Regions from separate parts of the Mus musculus genome. Here regions 1, 2, 4, 5, 6 and 7 are each reported to be linked to region 3. The links are microRNA targets in miRTarBase. Many come from high-throughput screens and were not tested one by one. Region 3 holds a microRNA gene; each other region holds the end of a gene's coding sequence.
The links. The annotated mature microRNA mmu-miR-374c-5p reads AUAAUACAACCUGCUAAGUG and lies in region 3 at 1,814-1,833, shown strand. An mRNA with a match to its seed (bases 2 to 7 or 8) in the 3' UTR can be bound and repressed. Matches are read on the target gene's strand: a 7mer-m8 pairs with bases 2 to 8, a 7mer-A1 pairs with bases 2 to 7 and ends in A, and an 8mer does both.

Region 1 (4,067 bases), not on the chromosome of region 3:
GGGAAAACAAATCTAAAGGCAGTCTATCAGTTGGGGTAGCATTAGCTGGAATACAGATCTCCAAACGCATCTCTGGCTGCTCCTTTTTATTCTTAAGGAGCCACTGAAAACTGTTTTCATTCTTGTCTGCAGCGGCGGCCTTAGTGGCTCCCTCTGAGCCCAGCCTGACAAAGTGCCTTACAACCTTGTATTTACCCAACAGGAGAGAGGGAAGAGAGGGCAGAGAGGAGCCATGCTTCCTAATACAGGGCAGGGTGGCCATGCTGACACGCTTACGGCAGCACACAGTTGTCAAAGGGTGGTGGCAAGGGGTTTCAGCTGACCTATGTGTTTTTCCACACTTTTAAATTCCCAACAATGAACATGCATTGTTTATGTATTGTTATCTTTGGAGGGAATATCACCTTTAGGAAAAGGAGTTATGAGAACTGGAAGTTCACAGCTGGACACCGTGGTACTCTAGAATCTTAGCAATTAGAGAGCTAGGGTATACATAGACCCTTCTCGAAAACACCAATCAATAAGAAAACAAGAAAGAATTAGAGGCTCATTATTAAGAGAGACATGCCATTGGTCACACAGAAAGCAGCATAGCTTTTACCAACAAGAGGTATTGAGAGCCCACATTTGACTCTCTTGCCCCATGCCCAAAGCAGCAAGCAATCAGGATCAAGAATGAAGCAATTGCAAACTGAGGCAAGATCACTTGTGCAAACGTGACAGTATTCTTGGACAGACTAAGTGGAAGCTTTTCTGCCTTCCAACATGGACGACACGTTAAAAATACTCCATCTTCAATAGCCTTAGCTTATGCAATAGAACTTTATTTTAAACTTTGACTTATAACTTTATATTGTATAGCTGTACAAAAATATTTTGAGTTATTTTCATTTTTAACCTTTCTGAATTTTCTGTTAATACTAACACACACACACACACACACAGGCCCATACACTTATTGATTGTCTTCATTCTCACTGCTTTCCACCTGTGTTGTCTGCACATGGGAGTTAGCGCTTTAACAGCACACACTCTGAGCAGGTCATGTGAGTGAACACATAAGGTGGTGGCCTGTGAGTGACAGTTGTGTGCACAGCTGCCTGTTCTCCCTAGCCTCTCGGTGACTTTGAGTGATTTGGAATTCAGGCATCTTTCAGCTCCACTGTAGACGTACGGGCTCACTGTCATACACCATCTGTCTCACCCATACATCAACAATGCGGCACATGGCAACTGAAAAACGCAGCTGCTCACTAGAGCAGAAAGGCAACCTGTAGGTTCTATTGTTCTTGCAGACCAGGAGGCTCTGCAAAGACAGAGGGACCCTTCAGAGTTCTTCCCACTCAGGCACTTCAATGGGGGGTGGGGAGTGAGGGTGGGATGGGTGGGGGAGTGGGCCTGCCTTTAGTCTGCAGCAGTTCAGAAAAGGCAAGCTTCAAAAGTAACCGTTAGCAACAAAGTATGCGTAGTCCAACTTGAGCACTACTCTGGATTAAAGTGCGGTGGAGTCTACAACAGTATGCGTGGGCAACAGCCTGTCATTGGTCACTGCCTGGCGTGGGAAGACAACTCTCAAACTAGGTCTGGAGAGTCTTTTGTTTTTAATTTTTGAATCAGGGTTTCACTATATAGCTCTGACTGTCCTGAAACTCTCTTTGTAGACCAGGCTGGCCTTGAATTCACACATCTGCCTGCCTCTGCCTCCTGAGTGCTAGAATAAAGATGCGTGCTTCCCACTCCTGGCTCCATCTTTGTTTTTGAGGCAAGGTGTACTGCTGCCCAGGCTGGCCTTAAACTCGCTGTGTGGCTGAGGATAGTCTTGAACTCTTAATCCTCTTGCCTCTACCTTCCAAAAGCTGGGATTAAAGTATGTCCCCTCAGTTTAGGTCTGGATATTCTCATGTCATTATTTAAAAATTACTTTGTTTTATGATTAATACCAAAACATATAAAACTTGTAAGTATCTACTAGGATATGAATGTTAAAGTGTGTTTTACTGACTGGGTAAACAAAACAAATTGAAAGCCAATGTAAAAGACAGAATGCATTTGGATGGACTTTTAGGACGTCAGAGAAGTGTGAATAAGATACTTAAAGGTCCAGCGTTTTTCCTACCGATAAGTAAAGTCCACACTGAAACCTGCAAGGATAGTCAGGAACCAAGAAAGCAGCAAATAGATGTGGTGTGGGGTGGTGTGAGGACATCTCTCAGCCATCATGCACACCCCCACAATGGGAAGAGCTGTGCCACAGCCCCATGGAGCAGTTCAGGGGAAAGACCAGAGACAAAAGGAGGGCTTCTCCTCCTGAACTTCTCCTCCTGACACTGCCTTTTAGCACGGGGGTCTTTCAAAAGGAAGGGAAAGGCAGCAAGTTCCACACCCGGCCTTCCAGCATTTAGGAACGCATAGTCACTGGGAGGCTAGACTCAGAGAAGCCACGATGCCAGGTCTGGAAGGCAGTAGACGAGAGGAAATACATAGGGCAGTAAGCAGCTATGGAATTCCTGGAGCTATGTTAGGTTTCAGGCAGACCTCTTCCAAAAGAGCAACACTACCTCCCCGAGGGTACCCTATCCTCAGAGTCAGGGTGGAGCTCAGCCCACAGTGGGAGCACCGTGTGTCACAGCTCTCGGGCTCAGCAAGTTTCTACAACTACTTAGGAGTGAAGAAGAAAAACACTGATAGGCCTTGAGGACGCTGTGCTAAGTGAAACAAGCCAATCAGGAAGCGAGACCCACTGCACGATTCACTCATGAGGCGAACAGTCATCAAAGAAGGGCAGTAGCACTCCCCTATGGGAAGACAGAAAACCATTTCCACTTCCTATGAGGTCTGGGTGTTTTCCAGATGGCAGTGACGGGTGCTTTGGAGCACTTCAGTATGCTCAATTCCACGGACTGCACATGCAGGAACTGGTGCAGTGGCTCATGCCTGCAATTCCAGCACTTAGGAGGTTGAGGTGGCAGAATCAGTACTTCAGAGCTAGCCTGGGCTACATAGTACAACCCTGTCAAAAGAAACCAAACCAAACCAAACCAAACTCTAAGCCAAAAAAAAGTGACCCTGCTAAATTTTGTATATACACCATAAATTAAAAAAAAAATCACCAAAGTTAGAAAGTCGCCAAGGCAGTTACTACAGAACGAAGAGAATTGCAATGGGGGAAAACATTTTTTTCTGCAACCCAGGGACGAGTACATAGCTCTAGCATGAGGTCTAGATGAATTTTCTGAAAGGATGACCAAGAGTTGTTTTGCTTGGGGACAGGGTCTCACCGTGTAAGCCACACTGACCTTGGGAACTGAAGGTCCCCTTTCTCTGCCTCCCGAGGCTGGCATCACAGGTGTGCACCCACACAGCCTGCAAGGACAGCCTGCTCGGAGGACGCTGTTACCCAGCATGCCCCACTCTCCCTCACTCCACGAAGACCCCATGTTCCTGGCACTGGTGGAGTGAATGCTAGCTGGCTCTGCCCCATCTTGTTACTCATAGTAGATGAATGCGAAGTCCCAGAAGCCGCTTCTGCTTGGGAAGGCTTTGCTCTGCTCTAGGCTGCGGTGGTTGATGTGTTTCACAAACCTCAGCGTTTCTCTGTCTCTGTAGACCAACGCCAAAGAGTTGTTTTCTGGATTCACTATGAGCAGCTGTAACGGGAAACACGAGAGATGTCAGAACCCAGAGCTCGTTTTCCGCTCCGCTCGGGGGAGTCATCACAGAGCAGGTGGTTTCCATAGTGACTCTTTAGGCTGGGGAGGAGGTCCCAAAGAGTTTTTTATTAGGAGAGGTGTGTTTCTGTCTAGACATTTCCCAACAAGCTCTGCCTCACTAGCACAAACCCGGAAACGGTTTGGCCTAATGTGTTTGCTTCCAACTCCCTAGAAAGAGTGGTGGGTGTGAGCCTCTTAACTCAGGCTCTCAGTAAGGCACAACAGTGTGTGCTGAATTTCCTTTCGCTTTACTGAGTTACTGCAAGCTCCCATATATTCTTGTGAAATCAGAGCCACCTCGAGGCAGGCCAGCATGGATTTATCAGCTAAGAACACTGGCTGAGGTCATAAAATGTG
Region 2 (4,065 bases), not on the chromosome of region 3:
AATACTTGTCTCACTCATGAGATGCGTGAGCTTCTGCAGGTTGAATTCGATCATAGATTCACAAGCATTTTGTGCTAGTTCACCTGTATGTCTCATACTGTAGTGAGACGGAAAAGGTTGTCTCAATACATGTTAATTTGAGAAGGTTTGCAAATAGATTTTTTTGCGCATAAGAGTTTGGGAAATTTTTCTTTTTATTGTAGAACATATTAAGTACACAAAATTAGCATATCTGAGGGATTATCTCTAGGACATCCGATGTCGTCGTTTGTGTATAATGTGCTGCCCTCGGCAGTCGTGAGTATTAAGCCTACCTTGAGACTGAAGTAAGCATGACTTCTCTTCTCATTCCCAGGGGCCCTGTCCCAGTGCTGGTGATGAGTCTTCTGTTCATCGCTGCTGTATTTATGCTGCACATTTGGGGCAAGTACACGCGATCATAGATTGGGCTACATCCATCTGTCATCTGAAGAAGAAGAAGAAGGAAAAAAACCCAACATATCTTGGACCAAAAGTGTAGTGATTTTCTGTTCACGTGTATTATTTTACAGAGAATAAGAATTGACTTTGAGAAATCAGTTTTTTCTATGGCTAATAAACTTTGGAATTGCTTTATATGGAGACTGGTTGCCTGTGCTTTATTGTGAGGGCCCTCTGCCTTAAGATGTAGCAGTGAATAGGTCTTTCTTACAGAGCTCATTCTTTGCAGGATTGGCAGTTCCTCCTACAACCATGTAGTCACTCAAACTCAAGATGCTCTAATTGGCCTTGGCATGTTTTTCCCAAGGTATTTCTGTGCTAGTGATTGTCATTTTGGGTACTTGGTTTTCAAGAAGTGTGCCTTGGACTGCCATCAGGGATCTGTATGTGAGACAGGTGGTGCCGAGGGTAAAGAGTCAAAGAAATCAGAAACCAAGAGTCTTGGCTGGGGCGTCGGCTCATTCTGTTGTTTTGTTTTGTTTTTACTTTTTTGAGATGGGGTCTCGCTGTGTTGCTCAGACTCTTGGAGCTTGCCACGCTCCTGCCTCCACTCCTTGAGCAGCCCTGGCTCATTCAGTTCTTTGTGTCTAAAATCCAGGCAATTGTTTGCTTTTTCTCTTGTTCACATGTCCCTTGGGGATTTCTGCCCACTGATCTCTCATTTCTAAACCCACTTTGAAAGTACTGATTTGAGAAAGTGGATTTATTGGTATAATTTTGTTTTCATTTTAAAAAATAAAGACTTTGTAACAGGAGTGAGACAGCACTTATATACTACTATCTAAATGATTGTGTCCAAAAGTAAATATTGGGATTTGTCTTCCCCTGTGCTGCCCACTGAGTACAAATAGCATTTACTGTTCTGGGAATCACCCCAGCAGGGCAGTCCAGGAACCAAAGGCTCCACACTGGGATGCCCAGAGAGAAGGGAAGAAGGGACTGACTGTCCACCAAGATCAATGTTGAAGATACGTGCAAGTTTTGCATCTGTAAAACAGGCCATGGGAATGGATGGATGGCCCAAGTGGGGCAAACTGTCTGCTGATGATCTGAGTTTAGTCCCTGGGACCCACATGGTGGAGGGAGAGAACTGATCCCCACAAATTGCTCTTTGATCTCCACATGAGTCATGTTACGTGTATGCCCTCAAGTAAAATAAAGACATGAATTGAGAAATAAACGTAAAAAACATCTTGAGGCCATCTTGAATGGCAGCAGTTGAGGGTGTGCACTGCTCCTGCGGAAGACCTGCTTTCTGTTCCCAGCACCCACGTCAGATGGCTCGAAACTCTACAGCTTCAGGTCAGAGCATCCAACACTGTCTTCTGGCTTCCAGATGCACAGACTTAAAAACTAAAAATCAACCTTTGGCCTGGAGTAGTGGCTGCTCTTGCAGAGGTCAGCATCCACACCAGGTGGCTCATAGCTGCCTGAGATACTAAGTAGTGTATTGTACCAAATGCTGGCTTTCATTGGTATTTCTATATGTGTGCATAAAGTATTTAGTCACTGCTCTCTTCTCTTGTCCTCTGCTGGCTGGCTCCTTCCTCTTTCTAACTAGTCTCCCGTCTTTTATGTTACAAGTAGTCAGATCCAGAGCTTTGTACATGCTACATTATGTCTCGTCATAAGATTTATCTTTAAAAATTAAATTTAGTTAGTTATGTGTGGGCGGGGTGGTAAGTGTATGATAAGGCACATGTGTGGAGGGCAGGAGACACTTGGGGGGGTCGGTTCTCTTTTTCCACATGGATGTTCTGGGTCTCTGATAATCAGGTTTCTCAGCGAGCTCCACTACCTGAGGAGCCGTCTCACCAGCTCCATGAAAGATTTCTTATGGCGACATCAGTAGGTTTACACTTGTTAAGTCTTAGCAGACATTTTATTTGAGGGAAAATGGCTCGAAAACTGGTTTTCTTGGATTCTGTGAATATCTTACTGCACTAAACAGGTGTTTTTATTTTTTGAAACACAGGAAACAGAGTTCGATTCATTTGGAAAAAAGACAACAATATCCATAATAGAATCCCACCCTCCCCCGTAGCCAGTTAGAGGTACCAAACAAAACTAAAAGTTATTAACTTTAATTTGGAAAAGAAACGTGTGTGTGTGTGTGTGTGTGTGTGTGCCTGTGTCTGTTAACTGTCTCTAGGGTAGACATATTACAACCACATGGCTTTCTTTGCTGCATTGGCTTGGCTAGCCTGGTCCCCAATGGTAGCGGGAAACCTGATGCGTTTTCCGAGCCAATGAGTTATAAGGTATGTGCGCTCTCACTGGCAGGATGGGCAAGCTTCAGTCAGCAGAAGGAAAGGAAGGGAGCTTGGGAGTTGGATGGAAAGATGTGCAGCATGTATTCCGAAGCTGCCTTTGGCTCTGCGGTACAATGCTAATACTGTTGCTGAGAGACGTGGTGTTCAAGCTATTCCTTTCTTTTTTATCAGAAAAAAAAAATTATTTTTTTTGGTGGTAAAACACACATAACATAACATTTTTCATCTTAACCATTTTCAACTTACTGTTCAGTGGTATTCAGTACATTTATCTTGTAGGATGCTCTCTCTATCTGCCTCCCAAACTTGTCATCTTGCAAAACTGCCCTCTCCGAGCAGCTGACTGCCATCACTGTCTTCATGGTGCGGCTGTTCTTCCTACAGGTGGAGTCACACAGTGTTTGTCGTGTTTGTGACCTTAATTTGATTGGCATTATGTCCTCCATATGGGATTTCATTTGCCAGAATTTGCTTCTTTCTAGGCAGAGAGATAATTTCATTATATATGTATGCTACTTCTTATGCTGCTTTTTTGAAAATTATTTTTTAAACTCATAATGCTTAGGAGCCATTAATAATGTGTGTGCGTGTGTGTGTACTCCCTCTGTGGCCTAGGCTATCCTTGAACTCTTAATCCTTCTGCCTCAGTATTATAGGCATGTGCCATCACCACCCCTGGCTTTTATTTATAGCCCCTGTAAAATCCTAACACATTAGATCTTTACTTGAGTTACGGTGTTCTTGGCCCTGAGACGGATGCTTCCAGGCCCCTTAATGTGGGTTACAATTCTAACGGCTTCTGATGGCAGCAGTCCCAGCAAAGTGAACTGCTATCACACTAGCTTAGGCTGAGCCTTCAAAGTTCTTGGAGATGCCATGTTGGGGACAGTGCCTGAGTCCCTAAACTAGTTGAGAATGGGACATCTTGGGGTCCTAGTGTTAACTCTGAACACGGTGGGCCTGGGATGATGGCAGCTGTGTGCCTCTCCTGTTCCTACGCCCATTCTAGTCTAGATTCCAGGGGTCAGGACCCCACAGGAGTTGGACAAGACATTCTGAAATCATGCAAATGTTGGCACTAGGTTGAAATGCCCAAAGGTGTCTATAATTCTGGGCTGCATCTGCTGGGAAGTACTGCAGAGCCTGCGGAGCTCATGAATGCAGGGAGTGTGCCCTTGTTCTTGACAGGGTGCTGGGTAGCTCTGTAGACATGGCTGGCTTCAAACTTAAAGAGATCCGCTTGCCTCTACCTCTCAAGTGCTGGGGATTAAAGGTATACTCCACTAGGCCTGGCTGACAACATACTCTTGAG
Region 3 (4,067 bases):
TTCTGACTTGGTATTTTCGTGCTATCTTCTGATATTTGGGCCTGAGGGATTTTTCATTGTTGATGTCTAACACAACAAAGATTTCTGTGTATCTTGTGTATAAGGACATTAATACTGTGAAATAGAATGGTTAATGTAAACAAAATCCTAAGACAGGGCTAGCATGTGACTGAGAACAGGCACCTGTGCTCTATGATAAGGCTAACCACTTGGTGTATGAGGTTCTGTGTGGCTGTGGTTACCTCGGACAGTATTTTCCATTTTTCTCCCTTGTCTAAGCCCCAGGGGCAAATATAAAGCAGGCCAGATTTCTAAAGGACCAGTCATGAAAACAATGATTATTAAATCAGCGTTGAAGTTCAGACACCAGGGTCCTTTCCTCAGGAGCTGGGTCAGTAAAAAGTCGTTTGAGGACGAACTGTGCAGTCCAGCCAGGCTCTGTCAGTTCCCTAGACTCTCTTGTGTGGTTTACCTTCTAAAAACTCAATTCCATCTCTCTATCATCCCAAACAGCGAATGGAAATTCTACATGAGTTGGATGTTTCGTGATACTAGAATGGTTTCTATCTGTGGTGGTGTAACATGCTAATCTTCATCCCTCTATAGTTTATCTTAAAAGATGAATTAGAGAACAGTGCAACTTTCTAATGAACATGTGCCCATGTCTATAATCCTAACAATTGTGAGGCAGCAGCAGGATTGCTACAAGATTGGGGTCTCCTTGATCTTTGTAGGTAGTTACTAGACAGCCAGGACTACCTAGCAAGAAACAAAGAAGGAAAACCACAAATCTCGTGCTTCTTAGAGTCCATGCCAAACCTCAAATCCTTTCACGACCACTCCAAGTTGTCTTCTTCATATGTCTGCCTGCTCCAGTGAAGAGATGGATCCTTTCATAGAAAGCTATTCTAGCAGGGTGTACATTCTGCCCTCTGTGGTGCTTTGAAGGAACACCGTGGCCCTACCTCATGTATTTGAACACTCATATCCCAGGTGGTGGCTACATTTGGGAATGTAATGGGACCTTTCAGAAGGAGAACCTTGCTTGAGGTGTGTCACTAGGGGCAAGACTGGGGTTTTCTACCCTGGTTCCACTTCCTGTTCTCACTTAGCTTACCACACTGAGGCCATGCCTGCTCTGTTACTATATCCTTCTGGAGCTATGAGCAGCAATAAAATTATAAATGGAGGTATGGGGAAAGCGGGTAAAGGAAAATGAATACCAACCATAACAGCACACCCCAGATTTTAAAGACGAAGCTCCTACTCAGTGATCACTGTAGTCCAACCTAGGGAGTAATCGGTAGCGATTATAGTAACAACAACAGAGATGCAACAATGACAAGCAGGCATTTCCAAAACACAGGCATAAATACAGTATTTCATAGAAAATATCACATTTATGGTACATGAGCTATTATCCCTTCCTTCCACACCCTCAGGATAGAAAAGAACCAGATATGGAATCCTTTTTATAAAACACAGTCGAGGCACAATTATCAATCAATTGGAATTGGTTTGAAAGGTAAAATATATCCACTATGATTATACTACACAGAACACAGGAATGAGCTGCAGAAATAAGGACGCTGCGGAGAGCTTGAACGTTGAAGGCCACTGGCAGGAACAAGCTGAGCCCATGGAGATCACAGAGCAGGCGCCCAATTAATGTCTGTTGATGATTCATTTTTTCATTCAACAAACATTTAATGAGGCCTACAATGTGCACCGGATTAGGCACTGTGAGTACAAAGTCACCATCCTTGCCCTTACGGATTAGTTTGATAGACGAGAGCCATAACCTCGGACAATGATAATACAACCTGCTAAGTGCTAGAACACTTAGCAGGTTGTATTATATCCACCCGAGTAGGATTTCTTCAGAGGAACACCACTCCAGGTTGCTGCGCGATCCATGAAGTTCTCCTGATCACCAAGGCCAGCTGTTGTTTCTTGCTCTCCAGGGATGACAGTCACAAGAACTAACATAGCTAGTTATCAGTTAGAATTCGGCTTCAGGTCAACTGTGACCATTCCCCAAACATCCTTTTCTGTGTTTATACAAAAACCTTTATTCAGCTATAACACAAGTTTTCAAAAGCTTTTAACTTAGAACAAAGAAGAAAGGCAATAGATTACTAATCAAGAGCATGAATGGAAGAATCATCGAGTTTCCTACATGGGCTAACTTCACATTAGTGAATCATTAAAAACGTCCATGATCCCTCCCCACAACACCATTGACCATTCAAAAGGTATAATAATAATTAACTTTCTTCTTTTAATTCTTGCATTGCCCGCTCCATCATTAACAGCAACAATAACTAAGATAGCATTGAGTGGACGCAATTAACAAACAGGCCAGCTAATGCCTATGCCCAAACCCTAGAGTCACTGTTTGCATGCACACTTCAGAGCTTCCTTTCCCAAATCTGAACCATTTACTTAAGTAAAATTGTCCTCATTATAAATGCATTATTTGAATAGTAAAGATCAATACGATAGGTCTGAGTAGAAAACATGTTCATAGATTTTGTTGTTTGTTTCAGTCAGGGACTTGTTATGAAACCCAGACTGGACTCAAAGTCAAGATGGTCTTCCTGTATAAGGACCCGAAATGCTGGGATTCTAGGCATGTGCCAACATGCCTTGCTTTATAATGCTTTGAGATCAGAAACCCTAGAGTGGATATTACACATATCTGATGCTTCAAAGTAAAGCAATGAACATTTCAAGTCTCTAAACACTTCAAAAGAAAAATAAAGTTCAGGAGAAAGCCTGCCAGTGACAAGAGACTATTCAGATGAGAATGATGGGGCACCGCTGCTATCTCCGTGTCTTACTGAGGATTGGCAGTTCCTAGATACGGCTCTTCTATGGAGAAGAAACTAAATGTATATCTAAGGAATGAGAGGATGGCAGCTATCCATGACAAAAAATTCCTTCCCTGTAAAACTCTCCTCCATATATCCTACCCCAAACCTCTTAGCGAGTAACTAGTCAGCCTGTAAGGTTTAATCTATATACCTGAATATCTCTCATCTTTGGGACTAATTCAATATCCTGACTACTGAGAGAACTGAATAATAATAATAATAAATGATTTGAACTGTGGACAAACATTTAGATCAACATGAAAAAGTGATCTGAGAGGGAAACAGACTCTTAAAAAACCCCTTGTAGCCCCGACAAAAGTTACTCATGAGTTAAAAGACATTTGTTGGCAGCATTATCAATAAATAATCTTAGCCTGGGGTTTAAGATTATAGGGTAATAAGCACCTTGAAATTGAAGACCCTTAAGGTGTATCTATATTCATAGTTAGAAGTTTAAAATGGACAGACAATCTGGTATAAATCGTCATGTCTCTGAGCCAAGTAGGAAGATGAACAGCAGCTCCAGTGTCTTGAGCCCAATTCTCATCCATACTCAACTAAACACAACCTTGCAGTATAACCCATTTTCTGGCAGTCCCTTAGACAAGGAGCAGAAAATACCTTTAAACGAATTCAAGGCCAATAAGGATGTCTGGATACAAATTTCTCCAACAATATGTTACTGAAAACTTAAGCCTTCAGAACCACTGATTAAAGTTTGCATAAAAGCTACATTACCTAACATAGTAAGAGACTATCAATCTTTCTTTCATTCCTTGTTTACCCTGTTGAGACAGGGTTGCTCGATGTAGCCCTGGCTGTTCAGGAACTGGCTTTGTAGACAAGGCTGGCCTTGGATCATTTCAAGGTAGACAAAGGGAATGTATCCTTGATGTGATTTTCCCATTTACAGATTATGTTTATAAAATACTGTTTGTAATTTTCATTGTCAGCTATTCCAAAAACAAAATGTAGAAGTGAATAATATTGCCTGTTTTTTTTGTGCTAGAGATTAAGCCCTTTGTAACACACATGTTGGGGACATGCTCTACCATGAGCAGGCAACAGGAACATCCTCCAAAATGCTCTATCCCACATACCCAGAGTTCCTGCGCTTGTTTTCTACATATATATTAGATATGCAAGGGTAGACTATAGTCTTCCTGGTGCACAGAATTTTTATGATTGTGC
Region 4 (4,067 bases), not on the chromosome of region 3:
AAAGGTAACGGGTCCCAAGAAAAGTCCAGTAGTGTGGACAGCCACCAGGAGGAGACTCAGCTGCTGTTTGTCTTCTGTGCCCCCGACGTAGCTTTGTGTGACTTGTTGACTCCTGCTTTGCCGGGGCCTGATAATAGGACCTTCTTCCAATTGCTCCTGGTGCCCATTGTACTGTACATGATGGTTACTGAGGCAATAAGAAAAACATAAAGATAAGTAATGGCTTGTGATGTAGAGTGGCTACTAGCCAGGAGGAGAAGCCAGTTTGGTCCCCTAGGCCATTGCTCCACCATCCACATCCTGAAGAGGCAAAGCCGAATGAACAGAAACTCGGTGTTCTAAGTGTTTCTGTTGTGGTCTAGGGGGTCAGAACCTCTGAGCTAAGCCTCAAAAAGTCGCAAGGGTGATTGAACATAAAGTGGTTATTTGAGCACAGGAAATACGTGGTGAGACTGATCAGACCAGGAAACCAGGCCTAGTGAGATACAGACCGGTACAGTTCATCTGGTTAGCAGGCACTGATTCGCCTTGTACATTTCAGACTTACAACAAGAAAGGGGCCTCTCGGAGGAAAGACCACCTGAAGGGCCACCAGAACGGGTCTGTGGCCGCCGTCAACGGACACACCAACAGCTTCCCTTCCCTGGAAAACAGCGTGAAGCCCAGGAAGCAGCGAAAGGATTGACAAGCCGAGCCGAAGCCTCCAGACCGCGGCGTGTGATTGTAAGCACAGCGTGACTTGTGCCCTGACGCTCATAGCAGCTGCTGTCACTAGTCTGGCCCTACTATCTGCAGTGTGACTCATGTAGGACCTTCTTCATCAGTTCAAAACCCCTAGAATATGTATACAGATTATACAAAGTAGGCATACGATTTTCTCACATTTCTGGGCTCTCATCGACCCCCGCGCTAGACTGTGGAAAGGGAATGTTCTTGTAGTATACAACACTGCTGTTGCCTTATTAGTTGTAACACGATAGGTGCTGAATTGTGGTTCACAATTTAAAACACTGTAATCCAAACTTTTTTTTTTTAACTGTAGACCATGCATGTGATTGTAAATTTGTACAATGTTGTTAACAGTAGAAAAACACACATGCCTTAAGACTTAAAAAAGCAGGGCCCAGAGCTTGTTAGTTTAATTAGGGTATGTTTCAACTTTGTATTATTCATTTGTATTAGCTCTGTTTAGAAAAATCAAATGTATGATTTATGAAACAAGTGTGTGATGTGTAACTTCAAGTGACTTGGAGATGCGAAATCTGATGGCACCCTTGGTTTTATAACGATGGCTTTAAATAAGCAGGTTCAAGTCTAGTGGAACAGTCAGTTTAACTTTTTAACAGATCTTATTTTTTTATTTTGAGTGCCACTATTAATGTGTTTAAAGAGGTGGGGAAAGGGTCCAAAGCGTCTGGAGACACTTACGTACCTGTCCCTGGTCCCCCAGAGGCTAGGGTGACTATAAGAGTAGGTCACTTTTCACTTCTGAAGTGCTTAGTGTTTTTATACAGGAGATAAAAAGGCCATTCGACTTCCCACCACTTGGAGAGAGAGAACTACCTTTCAGGAAAGGTGACGAGACATTTATTATCTGACAGACACACACACACACACACACAGTGATAAGGGACTGGTTACCTGGGTCCACATTTTTTTTTATTCTTTTCTGTAGTGCTACTTTGACATACACTTCCTTTTAAAATGTGCCTAATTTACCAAGAGACCAGGAAGCACCATAAGCATTTTGAGGTAAAATTTAAGAGCTGGAGCGCGCAGGAACTGGGTGTTTGGGAGCAACCGCTTTTTTCAGTGTGAATCATGGTGGCATCTGTAATTTTTTTCTGATTAGCACCTAAAGATCGGTTTAAAGTGCTTGGACTGCTTATCCTAAAATCGTGTCTAGTGCGCTCGAGGCATCGGTCATACAAATGGGGACTCTTTTCATGTGTGTCATTTTTAAAGTGTTGAAAGCTTAGCCTTTGAATACCTTCTGCATTGGTAAAAAATCCATGGAACCACTCATGGCACATCTTAGGAGATGATTGACAATGTATAAACTAATTGTGGGTTTGATATTTATGTAAATACCAGTTTACCATGCTTTAATTTTGCACATTCATATTACAAGGAGCCAGTTGGTCCTAATTAGCCTTGTGGGTTTTCTGTTTGGAAGGAGTTGCGGCATCTGTTTACATTTCCCTTGTCAGATCTAGAATGTGTGTATGTGTGTGTCTTCTCCCTAGGTACCCGTCTGCAGGTGTCTTTACATATCTCAATACAAAAATTATAACATTTGATAGTGTGCTGTCAAAGTGTGCTTAGCTCATCTGGATATACCCACACTGTTAAATAATGTCTAAACATTAATCATTAAAACCTTTTTGATTACCCGTGCTGTGTCTTCTGTTGTTTGATGTGCTGACAGTTCTGAAAGACTGCAGGATGGTCAACTCTGTCACCTTGTAGGAGCTTAGGGAGTGGACATGAGTAATGTAGCGTGGAAAGTGGTTGTATCAGTTGGGGGCTCTCTAGAGAAACAGAACTCATAGAATGAGTGTGGGGGTGGGGGGAGGATTTATTAGAATGGCTTACAGGTTGTGGTCCAGCTAGTCCAACAAGGCTATCTACAGACAGAGGATCCAAGGATCCAGTAGCTGTTTAGTCCACGAGGCTAAATGTCTCAGCTGCTCTTCAGGAAACACGGGTTCCAGAGCAGTCGCGTCGAATGCCAGCGAAGGATTTGCTTGAGTGGACTCACTAGCAAGAGTGAGAACAAGCAGGCAAAGAGAAGAGGGCTTCCTTCTTCTCTGTCCTGTTTAGAGAGAGGCTGCCAGCAGCAGGTAGGGCCTGGATTAAAGGTGGGTTTCTACCTCAGAGATCCAGATCTCAAGTGGGTCTTCCCACTTCAGATGATTAAGGAACAAAATCCAGCACTGGCGTAGTCAGTTTGAGTTGTAGTCAGTTCTGCATGTGGTCAAGCTGGCAACCAAGAATTGCTATCACCTCCCATGGCAGAGGACCCCAGAGCATAAATCTCAGTGTCTTCCAACAACCCTAGCTCCTCCCCTGCACCCCTGCTAGAGGGTTCACCTCTGAGCACGCTCCTGCATCCTCCTTTCCTTCCTGGCATCCCATGCTCTTCCCTCATCTGCAGACTGTTAGAGTAACTTCTCGTTGTAGGCAGTAGGTCTGCACATTTTTCTGTGAAGAGCAAGAGAGGGAGCACTCCAGTTTCCGTGGAAGCTACTCATCTGAGCCATTGTAGAGTACAAAACAGCCACAGGCACGAAGGTAAATGGGTGTGGCTGCCTTGGAACTCTGTGTGAAAAAAAAACAGAAGACCCGTGTCATGAGTTGCTGAGTCTGCCGGAGACAAGTGCGTTCCCTCCTTCATCCCAAAGTCTCATCATTCACACACACACACACACACACACACACACACACACACACACGCCGGAGACAAGTGCGTTCCCTCCTTCATCCCAAAGTCTCATCATTCACACACACACACACACACACACACACACACACACACACACACAAATGGTTGCTTTTCCAAATCCTGCCCCTCCCAACCTACCTGAGGCTTTTATGTCCTATCCACGCCTCTGGGAAGCAGGTGATCTTGAATGCTTCATCTCTCACAGTGACACTGATGGCTTACGGCTTAAGTGCCCCATCCTCCTCCCCCCCCCCCTTCCCACCACAGCTGGAAGTACAAGCTGGAGCTTTTGTGTATGTAAATAACAGCTTACAAGATCTCCTGGAAAACACTTAACACTAGTAAATGGCACGTTAAAGGATGACCAAGGGGATCATTGGAGATTGGCTAATGGTGATAGAATCAAATCAGTATTTTTCCCTTAAGTCCAGAACAAAAGAAAAACATAAGACACAGAAATCAGAGTAATAAAAATCAAAATAGCCGAGTACGTAGGCAATCAGGAGACAGGGTCAGGAAGATGATGGCAAATAGGGCCAGCCTAGAGTTACAGGCCAACCAGGATTGTATAGAAAACAGCTTTCATCAAAAGGGGAAAGTGAGGAGAAGACAGAGAAGAGAG
Region 5 (4,059 bases), not on the chromosome of region 3:
CTCTGGGTACATCAGCTGCCTCTGCTCCTCTCGCCTGCCTGGCTCCCAGTGCTGCAGCTGACCTCAGGAAGGTGGGGTGCTAAGGGGCCTCTGGAATCAGAACTGCTCAAACTCGGGGTGTGGACATCCTGTCCTGGGCTTTTCCCTCCCCTGCCTCCCTACACCCCCGCTGACTTCTGAAGAGCAGACACTGACACAACCCCCTCCATCTCTTTTCCTCACCCAGAATTCCCCTACACCCCGACTCCTGAACACGGGCGGCGCGCCGGGCAGATGCCCACAGCCATCATTGGGGGCGTGGCAGGGAGTGTCCTGCTGGTGCTGATTGTGGTCGGAGGGATCATAGTGGCCCTGCGCAGGCGCCGGCACACCTTCAAGGGTGACTACAGCACCAAGAAGCACGTGTACGGCAACGGCTACAGCAAGGCAGGCATCCCGCAGCATCACCCGCCCATGGCACAGAACCTGCAGTACCCGGATGACTCGGATGATGAAAAGAAGGCCGGCCCATTGGGCGGGAGCAGCTATGAGGAGGAAGAGGAGGAGGAGGGCGGTGGAGGAGGCGAACGTAAGGTGGGCGGCCCCCACCCCAAATATGACGAGGACGCCAAACGGCCCTACTTCACTGTGGATGAGGCTGAGGCCCGTCAGGACGGCTATGGGGACCGGACTCTGGGCTACCAGTATGACCCTGAACAGCTGGACTTGGCTGAGAACATGGTTTCTCAGAACGACGGGTCTTTCATTTCCAAGAAAGAGTGGTATGTGTAGCCCCGCCTTCTGGAGCCTCTGTCTGTGCCCACTTCTCCCAGGCCCCTACCCGCACGCCCCCCTGCCCACCCCCACAGCCCACTGCCCTAAACCAGCCCCAAACTCCTGAGGAGCCAGAGGAGCTCAGGGCAGACCCCACTTGGCTTCGTTTTTTTGTTTTTTGTTTGTTTTTTGTTTTTTTTTTTTTAATTTCCTCCCTCACCCACCCTTCCCCCTGGTGTTGTGTTCGACCGTGGCTTTGGTGTTGCTGTACCTTTCCTTTAAGGACCCCTTCCACTGCCCTGTGTGTAGGGAGCCCTGTTCTTGTCTTGTGTACTTGGGCATCCCTCCAGGGTTTGGGGAGCCAGTCCTCTCCCACCCCCCCACCCCCATCCCCCAACACTGGAATTTGTTTGTGTTCTCTCCGTTGGGAATGGAGGGCAAAGGGAGCTTCGAGATGGAGAGCACCCTCACCCCCACCCGATATGCTGCTCCTCTTCTCAGAAAGATGTAACCCAAGCCCCCACTAAGCTGATGCAGTCAGTGCACCTAAGAGGTTTTAGAGGAGTTCTCCGTGGTACCCAGGGGAGTCTTGTGTGGGGAATAATGGAGCTGAGGGTTCTGCTGGGGTCCTGGGCAGTGTGTTTTCCTGGTGAGGGTGGTTTTATGTTTTCTTTTTTTTTTTCTTTCTGGCCCCCCAAATGGAGTTGGCGTAGCTCTCATATACCCCTCTCTGTTAACGCCCAGTCCGTTCTGTACACAGTGGGTGACCCCAGGTGGATTCTACCCACAGTTCCTATATGCCTCTGCCAACATATGCACACATATCCATGCACACATCCCTGGGCCTATGCCAACCTCTCACGCCCTGCCCAGGCTGAACACTGCCCGAGGCCCAACCCTCTGCTCCACCTCTTACCCGTTCCCAGCTCAGGAAGGGATCAGCCCACAGAAGCATTCAGAGTCAGCTAGGATGAACCTCCCGCACCCACCCACCCACCCCCAAAGCCACTCTACAATTTCAGTGTAGCTCCAACCTTTCCTGACAATGTACATGTTTCTCGGATTTCTCCTTATCTGTCAAGTGCTAGCAACACTTGACTCTTCTGGAAAGTCAGGGCTGGGATCCCAGGAAGGAATGCGAGGCACAGAATTATTGAGACGGAGAAGGCTGCTTTGTGGAAACTGCAAACACAATTGAAGGGGGACTGCTAGCGTCTCATATGGGAAGGCTGGCCTAGATGTGTCTCGGGTCTCAAAGAAAGTGCAGGGGCACCGGGGACCTGCTGCGTATCCACAGACTGACCCCTGCTCACTCTCTCCTGGTGCCAGACTGGCAAGATGGCCGTGTAGAAGGGCCTTTGCATGCAGTCTCCCTCTTTGAATGGGATTCTGGCTTTGTCAGCCGTTCGGGGCTGGGCCTTCCCTTGAGTGCATGGAAAAAGGTCTCCCCACCCCACCTCACCCCAGCCCTCTGTCCCCAAGCTCAAAGTGCCTCGGTTTCTCCATCTGTGCCCCCAGATTACCCTCATTCTAAATGGGCATTCCCAGGGCCTGCCTGTCAGGATCTCAGCCAACTCAGCCCTAAGTGACACTCGCTGAGGGATCACAAACATTGGGGAGAGGGAGGCAGACCATTCTGTGCCCTACGGGCACTGACCCACCCTGCCATAGGCTTCCTAAGGGAGCCCCAGCCCACACCCCACTCCTCCCTGGTGCTGCTATTGAGTTCCCAGTCCAAGCGCCATCTCTGGCACCCCTTACTCAGCCCACCAGCTGGGGCTCTTCTGCCAGGCCCTCACTGCCCTAGTCCCAGCCCAGGCCGCCCAGTAGCCACGTAGCAGAAGTCTGAAGCCATGCCAGCCCTGGGGCGGCTCTCCGTCTTGGCATTGGGGACACTGGATGGGGTGAAGTTTGGGGAAGAAAATTCTGGGGCCTTTCTAGCCACAGGGAGAAGGAAGATGGAGGAGCTGGGCTGCTTCTCCCAGAAGTATTAGTGTCCTTTCCATGTCACAGCTCATCCTGTTCCTCATACCACTCTGCCCCTCTCCTTGGTCCCCCTCCCCCACCCCCAAGGCAGGAGGCAGAACCCTGACTGCCCCAGAGTGGTATTTCTGTCCCTATGGGGCCATAAGACTGAAAGACTCACCCTCCCGAGTCTCTCGCACCTTTCACGGTCATCCCCTATCCCCTGTCTTGTGATGGATCGAGGAGGCCCTGGGCCTGGACAAAGCACCTAAGCTCCCTGTACAAACCTGCACGCCTTTCCCCGAAGCAAAGCACAATTTATAGGGTCCATGCAGCAGGATCTAGGATCCCCAGCCGTGGCACTGAGCGCTTCCAGGCGGCCGCCACCTGGGCTAAGAAAGGACAGGAGTCAGGGGTCGGTAGCTGGACCCAAGGAGAAGGGGCTTTTCTTGCCCTGTGTTTGCGGGACAGTGGACACAGCCAGCTGACAGTGTGACAGAGCGGAGGGCATTTTGCTTCACCTTCATGCCCCCCCCCCCCAGCACAGCTGAGCTTCTGCCAGACTGCGGAGAGTAAACTTGGTGTGTTACCTGCCCAGACCCCTCCGGATGTCGTCCCTAGCTGCCCTCCCCCTCCTGTCCCTCCCCTGCCCCTGGACCCCTGTTTCCCTACAGATTTTGGTATTGTTCTGGTGTGCAACAACCCTCTGAGTCTCTTTTACCAGAAGGACCTGAAATACAGCAACACACAATTAGTGAACACACGCCCAGCACACCAACACACGCCTTCCACAGACCAAGCACAGGTGTGTGTGTGTGTGTGTGCACAAGTACACACATAAACGAGAAACCTGTATTAATTAATGCTCGGGCCCCAAGCCCTGGGAAGGCGCACCCTCTGCCAGCCACCCCAGCGTGCCCCAGTCACTGGTGCAATAACCTTCCTGCCATCGTCCAGGTGGGAGAATCAGGACTCACGTCAGGTGGGTGAGGCCACCCCTCTGAGCCCAGCAGACACTGCATCCTTTCCTGGGAGGAGGGGGGTGCTCCCAGGCCTCTGGAGGAGTCCAGGTAGAGACTTCCCCAAGCCTAACTGCCAACTGAAACCCTCTCCTGGTGAGGGCAGGTGGCTCCAGCTGACCTGGGCCGGAGACACCGAGAGGTGAGGAACCAGCCTCGCTGATGCTGCTTTCTGACCCCAGCTGTGAAGAGTGGGCTGGGGGGAAGAGGGTGACTTTTTTTTTTTTTAACAAATGGAAACAAAATCCAGGAGAAGCTGCCACCCTCGCCTGAGTGTGACTAAGCTTCCTTTGCTTCAGTTTCTATGTCACTGTTTTCCTCT
Region 6 (4,067 bases), not on the chromosome of region 3:
GCGGTGTTGTTTTCAGAGCTTGCAAACTCACAGGGAGCATTTTACCTCCACCTCATCCCTAGCTAGAGGGTAGATGATGGTGTAACCACGGCCACCTCATTGCAGAGCAGGGATCCAGGTTAGGGAAGTATAGAGTCCCAGAACAGATGGAGAGGGCCAAGTTTGCTAGGGGGTATCCTTAGACCAGGCCAACTCAGCTGCTTCTCCTGCACTGTACTGTGGACCCCTGGGCTTTCTGCAGGTACAGCCACTCCTGCAAAAGGAACATTGCATTTCACAGCTGCTTGGAGTGTTACATCTGGCTCACACGCAGGGCTGTGCAATACCGGTACAACTCAATGCAATGCAATTCAAAAACAGACTAGGCCCAACTGTTTTCCCAGCTCCCTAGGCTCAAATGAAATTTGCAGTGTCAGGGGACTTGCTGTCCTCTCTTGGAAGTGGGGCAAAGGGTACTCAAGGAATTAAAAAGAGAGTCTCTTGTAGCTTTCCCTCCAAGGAAGAGAGAGTGAAGACCAAACAGCAGAGGCCCTGGTACTGGGCAACAGGTTCAGGTTTATTTCCATCACGACACCCTAACCAAGCCCCATCCCAGAGCTATGAGAGGAATCACTGCGGGATGCTGAGCATGTCAGGGAGGACCTCCTCGCTGCACGCAAGAGTCGTCAGAGCTTAAGCATAGTGCATACTGGGGCTCAAAGCTGAGCACCTCTAAACCCCTCTGGCTTCCTGGCAGCCTAAGGATTCCTCATGTGGAATCCCATGTTCTGAGGACCTTTCCTCACAACTTGCTCCTTACCCTGCAGTTGGACAGCTATGACAGGAGATAAGGACAGGGATGTCCTGATCCCCAAAATGGGACAGTCCGTTTGGCCTTTAAGGTTTCATAAAACAAGCCCCCACTTCTCAGGAATGACCTTCCACAGCTGGGTACCCCTTAAATCTGCTATGTTCCTGCCTCCAGGTTTCCAAATCCATGAAGCCCTTTGCACCTACCAGACAGAATTTCCTTATCGTTTTCCCTTTTCTGGGTCCAGGCTATATTGCTGCAAGCCTTGCCTGGGGCCCATTCCAAGAGAAGATGGTTGGTGTTTAGACAGAACCCCAGAGGAACACTGGGATACACACAGATCAATAAGTCTTATTGCTTGCACTATGTAAGAAGGTCAATAGGGAAGGGATTTATCCAGCCTTGTGCTGCCCCATCACTGCCTACAGCCTGAGAGCCAGACCCTCATGGAACAGCAGAATCCTTCAGGTACATCTGCTCACAAGACTAAGAAAAAGATTCCTTCAGACAGAAAAACAAAGCAACGGGAACCTGGAAGTTCTAGGAGGACACAGGCCCAGGGCTCAGAAAGCAGCAGGGCTCGGGTTATTCGGTTTTTGCTGTTTTGCAGTAATGCAACCAGAAAGTCACAGTTTCTCCTTCCACAGTGAAGCAGACCCACTGGCGGGGGTGATGGCAAGGGAATGGGGTCCATAGCCCAAGGGGTGCACCTCAGATTGAGGGGGCCACAGGCAACCTGTCCCTGCCTGGTGTAGAAGGCTATTTCTGCACATCATGCCTGAGGCTCCCATTCAAATGTCCATGGCCTGAGGCATGATAGCTGCTCTACCAGCTTTGGATACCATGTGGCATCCAAATGGGAAAATAAACAGGATGTCATCCCTCTTAATACACACATGCACGCACACACACACACACACACACACACACACACACACACACACACACCCCTTAGATGCTTTTCACAAGGATTCATCTCTGTTTACCTGCCTTAGTTTTTAACTAAGGCAGAACCTGGAAAAGCACTAGAAACCACCTCACTTCATAAACAAGGAAGCTGTGGCCCAGCACAGGGCACATTGTGTTCACAGTCATGAACCCAGCTGGAATCCTGAACCAAGGCTTCTAAGCAGCTCAGGCTCCATTGAAGTGTCCAAAGTGCAAGGGGATCAACTGATTCTTGTTTGGCTGATAACCTGGTTCTCAGAACAGGGGAGGGGATGGAGGGGAGAGATAAGGTACAGGGGGGAAAGAGCCAATGTATATACTCAGGGGTTGGTCCAAGCCACTGAATGTTTCTGGGAAAGAACAAGGAGGCCCTTTCTCTTTCCAGCTTTGCCAAAGACCCAAGAGCATACTTCACTGGTCAAGAACACAGAACACATCTCTAAATCCTATCCATTAGAATCTTCTCCAGTCTTTCCAATGGCTCCTCCAGAAGCACTGTCTCGAATATCCTAAAACTCCTTCTACTTAATATAACAGCGAGCAAGGCAGCACCCCACACTCCCCATGCAGTTCAGAGCACAATCATGAACAAGTTCCTCGGAGGCAGGGACAAAAACAAGCATCTACACGGAATAAGCTGGGCCCCGTGGCCCCATGGCACTACTTTTTTTCCCCCTCTACCTTCCCAAATCTGGGTGTGGCCTTATTTTAAAGTCTTAGGTTATGGCTGTGCAACTTGCAGCTGGAGAGCCAAGATGGGCACTAGAAAGCCACCACTCCCTCTACCAGCAGCTTCTGCCTATGCACATGATAGACACCATATCACCTCCAAACACCCTAGGAGGCCCCACAAGTGATTCCAATGTCAAGGGCACGTGGAGAAAGTCTTGCAGACAAATCCGAGTTTAGTAATTGAGTCCAGGCTGAAGATGGCATGTAGGATTCCTTGTAATCAGTAGAGGGGGTGGGGGTGGGAGCACTGTGGAGTTCCCTGGACCCAAGACTTGGCTTATGAAAATTGAAGGTTGCTTCAGAACTCATTGATTTTACTGCAAGGTGGCTGGCCCATTCTAGACATGGCTTTGATTAATGGGAAAACAGAGAGGGGAGAGCGAGGGGCTTTCTGTGGTTGTTGTGGCTGGAGAACAGCTTCTTCAGGCCATCCATGGTGGGCAAGAAGTGTAGAAATAAAGCCACCACATGATACGGTCTTGAGTCAGGGCACAGTCATGGACGTGGTAAGTTCTTCAGCTATCCCATCTCCTTCCAAATTGAATCTGCATTTCTGGCTCTCAGCTCTTAGAGCACAGGAAAAGCACCAGAACTTTCTCTGACCCTCACCCCACCTCAATGTAAGTCTCTGACTGAAAGAGCCCTAGAGCCCTCTCATCATCCAGGCACACAGGAGCTGAGCACCTGGACAACTTAGATGTAAGCCAAAGGAGCCTCAGGTTGACCTGCTCCAAAGGATGCTCATGACACTGAGCTGCAGTACTTGGTACAGGCTGAGAAGGGTCCATGTCCAAAGCCAATTTGCTGAAAGGCTGCTGGGGTGTTCACTGCCCCAGTCTCTCCAAAGCAGGCATGTTTCAAACTCAGTTCACAAGGCCTTGTACCTGGGATCAGGCCATCACCGAGGCTGGCCTTGACCCAGTAGGTCAAGCTGGGACCTGGCAGAGGTGAGCAGGGGCATGGGTTGGGGGGGAGAGATGGGGCAACTTTCCAAATTTGAGGTGTATTTACATATCAAATTGGGCTCAGTGGACCACAGTAGATGGGACCCAAACAGGAGGGGCAATATCAGCCTATACCCTATCTCTCTCTTCCCCTTTGAGGAGGAGCCCAGCTTCCTACCCAGGGCCTGCCCAAGGAGAGGGGAGAGGCACAAACATGCGCAGGCACTGGCCCGCAGCCCCAGCCTGTGCAGAAGAAGAAGGGAGACAGGGCTCAGGTGGCCAAGTTGTCGGCCGGGAGGCTGGACATGCGGAGCTGGGAGCTGCTCTTGCTCAGGATGGACAGCTGGGTGCCCCCGTTCACTCCACTGCTGGCCAGGGATGGATGCCGGTGCTTGAAGTCCATAGTGAAGTAACGGTTCACCTTCCAGCTCCTCCATTTCCTCTTAATCTCTGCCTGTACCTGCAATGAGCAACATTCATGTGGCTTCCCAGTACCTTCTGTGAACTGGCCTGGCGCTTCACCAGCTGCCATCGCATCATGGCTGCCCACCCACCTCCCACACCCCAGCTGTTTCCATCAGCTTTGCCCTGCTCTGTCTTGGCAAAGTTCCTGCTGATTGGGCCTCTCCAACACCGGTTGTTGAGAATTATCA
Region 7 (4,067 bases), not on the chromosome of region 3:
TACACAGTCCTGGAGACACCACACAGAGAGGGGCCCTCACAAGGTAGAGTTTGTGAATGGGGCCTGAGCACTTTTAACAGATTTCTCAATGATTCCAGCATGTAGCCATATTTTCTGTTTTCCATTAGATTTCTCTGTAAACTCCTTTGGTGCTAGGGATCAAACACAGAGCCCCACCCTCCTGGGCAGGTGCTTTGTCTCTGAGCTGCCCCCTCAGCTCTTAACTTCTCTGTCTTGTTTGAGACATTTGTCCCTTTCAAATTTTGTATAATTGTTATTATCTGTGTCTTCTGTCTTAGGGATTTCTGTTCCCTAGAGAAAGGACCCATCTTCTCATTTCTGTATCTTTCATGAAAATATACATTGGCCATCAGGGAGACATTGTCAACCACACACAGTTTGTGTCCTGCTTGAATCTATTGTCCTCACTTGGATGCTCAGTGTGGAACTGCTTATGACGAAGGGTGTGGGTAACCACAAGGGAGAAGCATGCTGCTTGTCGTCTTGGGCACAGCACTGGGACGAAGATTTATATGTGTGCGTAGGCTAGAGGGGATCGGGTTGTAGGGGATACATCTGATGAGAATTTAGGAATCACTTGAGGGTGTGATGGGGAAGTGAAAACATACTTGACATACAATATGTGTATGGTTGAAAAAAACCCATTAGGGGACCCAGTCTGATGCTCCTGTCTTTAATTCAAACACTTGGGAGGCAGAAGCAGGCAGATTGTTGTGAGTTTAGGGGAAGCCTGGTTTACAGATGAAGTTCCAGGTCAGCCAGGGCTATATAGGGAGACTCTGTTTAAAAAACAAACAGCTTTAACACACACATAAAATAAATGTAAAATAAAGGAATTATTGTGCGGAGGGCCATGAGCCTTTTTAAATGAAAAATTATTTGAAGGCAGGTGCTATAACTTCCAGGAGGAGGTAGGGGCTTGAGAAATACATGCAACAGCCATTGGCTGAGATCTTCGAGCTGAGCGGAGGGTGGGTTAGGGGACACCGAAAGCATCTGAGAACTGACTGGCATCAGGGCAATATGTTGTTGGTGGTGGATGCAGCATCTCTGACCGAGGTCTGAGATGATGGAAAACTCAATGTGAGGCTAGCACACCTTTGACCCCATCCCAGTGCAGTCTGCGCTGCCTCCAGTGTCTCGGGTGTGGAAATGGGGTGGGGAAGGGCAGGCCACACTTGCATTTGCATGGCTTGCAAATGAAGGACATGAAATGATAGAGTAACACTCAATGGCATTAATTTGTGCAACTCATTCAGGTCAGAGGTTTAAGAGGACAGACAGGGCGTAGTAACAAGAAAGGAACAGGAGGTTCTGGAGAGAGTTCAGTGTGGAGATTGTTCTGAGTTGAGGGCTGCAGTACTGCCTTTGAGTGGCTGAAGCCTTGGGGATTCCACCACAGTAAACCACTCCTCCCACCCAAGTGGCTCCAGACACTCAAAGGCAATAATGCAGCTTTCAACTCACAAACAACTCCACATGTTCCCTCCCCCTGAACTCTCTCCAGCACCTCCTGTTCCCTTCTTGTTAGTATTCTGTGTCAGTTTCTCAGTTGTAGAGCGTGTGTCTGGCACATGCAAGACCCTGGCTTCCATCCAAAGCATGGCAAAACCAGAAACAAATAGACAGAAAACCCCACAAAGTGCTATCAGTGATATATAATACATTTTTATTATGAACATAGAGCAAATTTACAAGTAACTCAGATTTGTCTTAAGCCGGGCAAAATTAAATAATCCAGCATTGCGTGGGTGAAGCAAAATATACACAGGCTGTGTTAGGACTGAAAGAAATCCCTGAGTAGGAGAACTAATTAATTCTCTCCAAAGCCTGTTGGCTTGGCGTGAGACCAAACACTTGATATCCAATACAACCTTTGCTTGACAGGCACAGAGGGTGTGCCTTAGCTCAGAAGGTTCCTGAGGTGACTGTTTGCCTCTCCTCCTGCTGCTGCACTCATCCCTGGTGCCCTGGTGGGGAAGGCAGGATTCAAGGCTACAGAAAGGCCAGGGCCAGGTGAGAGGACCCTGCTAACAGCCCACTTCCGGTGGAGCACTGGTCCACTGGAAGTGCAGAGCATTCCAGGCTGTAAACACTGCCTCTGGCATGGGTGACTGCATTCCTTTAAGGACACACTTTGAATGAGCCAAACAGACAGTAGCAGAGGCCAAGGTTTCCTGAGAGTGCAGGGCAGACAGAATGTCCAGGTAGCCAGGCCTGGTGGCCAGGGCTGCAGTCTGAGCAGGTGGGGTGCTGCAGAAGGTGTTACTGTGGGATTGAAACCTGCACAGGCTCCATGCTGGAACTCTGTCTCAAAAGAAGGAAAAAAGTCAAAACGAAAGGGAAACAGAGGCAGAAACACTGCAGAAGGGCAGCTGGAGGCTGGTGCTGGGTTTCCAGAAACCTAGCTGGGTCCCTCTTTGGTGGGGATGTGGAAAGCTTGTTATTATTTTATTTTTTGAAGGTGAGAACAGTTTTTGTTAGAGTTTAAAAGAAACACAAGAAGGCAGAGAAGCTGGAGATCTCAGAGGAAGAGTGTCCAGGCTCTGGCCAGTATCTGAAAGACAAGATAAAGAGATGGAAAAAGGGAAACCAAGGCTTTTCTTGACTAATTCAGAAAAGCAGGAGGCTTAGCCTGACCCATGACAGTGGTACTGCAAGGGACTGCCTCACTGTTCATTTATTTATTTTTGGTTTGGAACTCATGATCAAAAGGGCTTGAGGGGCTAAGGGAGACAGAAATCTAGTGGCCCTAAGGCAAAGTGATCAGCTCGCATACTGAGAGGCAATTCAGTAGCTACAATTTTCAAATAGTGGATTGTCTCAGAAAGAGGAAAACTCCAATACCTCCAAATATGGCTTCTTTTCAAATAATTTCAACACTCTCCGAAGGTTAGCTCTGTGCTGCTTTTTCACACTCCAGATGTCTGTCAGTCCAAAGTCACCAGCTCTGCTTTTCTGGGCACCTTCCTGGTGGATGTTAGAGATGCTGTCTTTTCTTCTGAATCCTGCCTAGCAGTTTGCTTGGAGTTGCTGACAAAGAGCCTCTCTAGTTGCTGTGAGTGGATTTTCTGGAGAAAGGCTCAGAGAAGGGCTCAGGCGTGAGGGCACAAGGTTCAGAGACTCGAATGTCCCAGATGGGTAAGCATGACAGTTGTCGGGTGTGTAGATTGCCCATGGAGGTTTGATCTTCTCATGTATGGTGGCTTCCAATCAGCCTTTAAAGATATGGGACTGGCCATTTCCTGCTTCTGGTTTGTTTTGTTTTGTTTTGTTTTGTTTTGTTTTGTTTTGTTTTGTTTTGTTTGGCGTAAGCACTTAGGTGACCTCCAAGGTTTATGGAAATTCAAGTCAGACTCTGATAGGGCAGGACTTGGAGTTGGGAGGGGAATGAAGGTGCTCTGAATAGGTCAATTTTCAACAATCTGGGTCAGGAAAGTGAAAGGGTGAGAAATTTTGATACCTCACTCTCAGCCAAATTTGAAAGCCTAGAAGGGTTGAGTTTTCTGTAGGCTCCAGGATCCACCTTTTCTTCTATAGACACTGAAGGAGTCAATAGAGTGAATGCATGAGTGTGTGTGTAAGTGTGTGTGTGTGTGTGTGTGTGTGTGTGTGCGCGCGCGCATGTGTACGTGTGTGTGTGTGCTGAGACCCTCCAGTGAGGAACAGAATCCGGGAATGCATCACTGGTGCAGCCAGCAGGACAGACGGACAGATTATGCTCACTTCTTTTTTACTTCTGAATAAACTGTTTCTGTGGCTCTTGGAGAAGAAGGGGCTGAAGTTGGCCGGTTGGGTTGCTGGGAATTGAAGTTCAGGACAGTGTATGCGACGTCATCCACCTGAAAGGATGAGAGTTGATCAGTGACTCAGCACCACAGGCCTGAGCCTCACCTTGCTGCAGCGGTGGGAGAGGGCTCCTGTCACTCACAGTCAGACATCCAGATGGGCTACAGAGCAGAATGAAAGCCAGATGTGTGCGAGGATGTGCACTGTCAGACTGCCTTTGCCCTCTGTAGGAAATGTGACAGCAATGTGTGTCTGGG

Region 1: the mRNA of Ogfod1 is a reported target of mmu-miR-374c-5p. Seed matches in the 3' UTR shown: 7mer-A1 at 1,934-1,940, 7mer-A1 at 915-921 and 7mer-m8 at 241-247.
Region 2: the mRNA of Sec61b is a reported target of mmu-miR-374c-5p. Seed matches in the 3' UTR shown: 7mer-m8 at 537-543.
Region 4: miRTarBase lists Elovl5 as a target of mmu-miR-374c-5p. Seed matches in the 3' UTR shown: 7mer-m8 at 1,162-1,168 and 7mer-m8 at 1,175-1,181.
Region 5: the mRNA of Nectin1 is a reported target of mmu-miR-374c-5p. Seed matches in the 3' UTR shown: 8mer at 3,570-3,577.
Region 6: the mRNA of Adcyap1r1 is a reported target of mmu-miR-374c-5p. Seed matches in the 3' UTR shown: 8mer at 1,676-1,683.
Region 7: miRTarBase lists Ceacam1 as a target of mmu-miR-374c-5p. Seed matches in the 3' UTR shown: 7mer-m8 at 1,681-1,687.

What each region holds. Positions count from the first base shown.
Region 1 is chr8:94,063,759-94,067,825 of GRCm38, reverse strand. Ogfod1 (2-oxoglutarate and iron-dependent oxygenase domain containing 1) reads right to left here. Exons shown (of 13, transcript NM_177767.4): 13 at 1-3,647. The coding sequence ends at 3,486. Among named protein-coding and RNA genes, the nearest start is that of Ogfod1, 29 kb to the right of the region's middle.
Region 2 is chr4:47,482,620-47,486,684 of GRCm38, forward strand. Sec61b (Sec61 beta subunit) reads left to right here. Exons shown (of 4, transcript NM_024171.2): 4 at 356-614. The coding sequence ends at 443. Among named protein-coding and RNA genes, the nearest start is that of Sec61b, 10 kb to the left of the region's middle.
Region 3 is chrX:103,571,273-103,575,339 of GRCm38, forward strand. It overlaps Mir374c (microRNA 374c), which reads left to right and starts at 1,813; the gene lies at 1,813-1,861. All of the region lies in intron 9 of Ftx (Ftx transcript, Xist regulator (non-protein coding)), which reads right to left. Mir421 (microRNA 421) reads right to left here and starts at 1,724; the gene lies at 1,649-1,724. It overlaps Mir374b (microRNA 374b), which reads right to left and starts at 1,882; the gene lies at 1,788-1,882.
Region 4 is chr9:77,982,124-77,986,190 of GRCm38, forward strand. Elovl5 (ELOVL family member 5, elongation of long chain fatty acids (yeast)) reads left to right here. Exons shown (of 8, transcript NM_134255.3): 8 at 542-2,396. The coding sequence ends at 685. Among named protein-coding and RNA genes, the nearest start is that of Gm34829, 3.7 kb to the right of the region's middle.
Region 5 is chr9:43,803,246-43,807,304 of GRCm38, forward strand. It overlaps Nectin1 (nectin cell adhesion molecule 1), which reads left to right. Exons shown (of 6, transcript NM_021424.3): 6 at 227-4,059. The coding sequence ends at 771. Among named protein-coding and RNA genes, the nearest start is that of Gm46108, 14 kb to the left of the region's middle.
Region 6 is chr6:55,496,790-55,500,856 of GRCm38, reverse strand. It overlaps Adcyap1r1 (adenylate cyclase activating polypeptide 1 receptor 1), which reads right to left. Exons shown (of 17, transcript NM_007407.4): 17 at 1-3,874. The coding sequence ends at 3,686. Among named protein-coding and RNA genes, the nearest start is that of Gm34441, 38 kb to the left of the region's middle.
Region 7 is chr7:25,460,038-25,464,104 of GRCm38, forward strand. Ceacam1 (carcinoembryonic antigen-related cell adhesion molecule 1) reads right to left here. Exons shown (of 9, transcript NM_001039185.1): 9 at 1,665-3,863. The coding sequence ends at 3,744. All of the region lies in intron 4 of 4732471J01Rik (RIKEN cDNA 4732471J01 gene), which reads left to right. Among named protein-coding and RNA genes, the nearest start is that of Ceacam1, 16 kb to the right of the region's middle.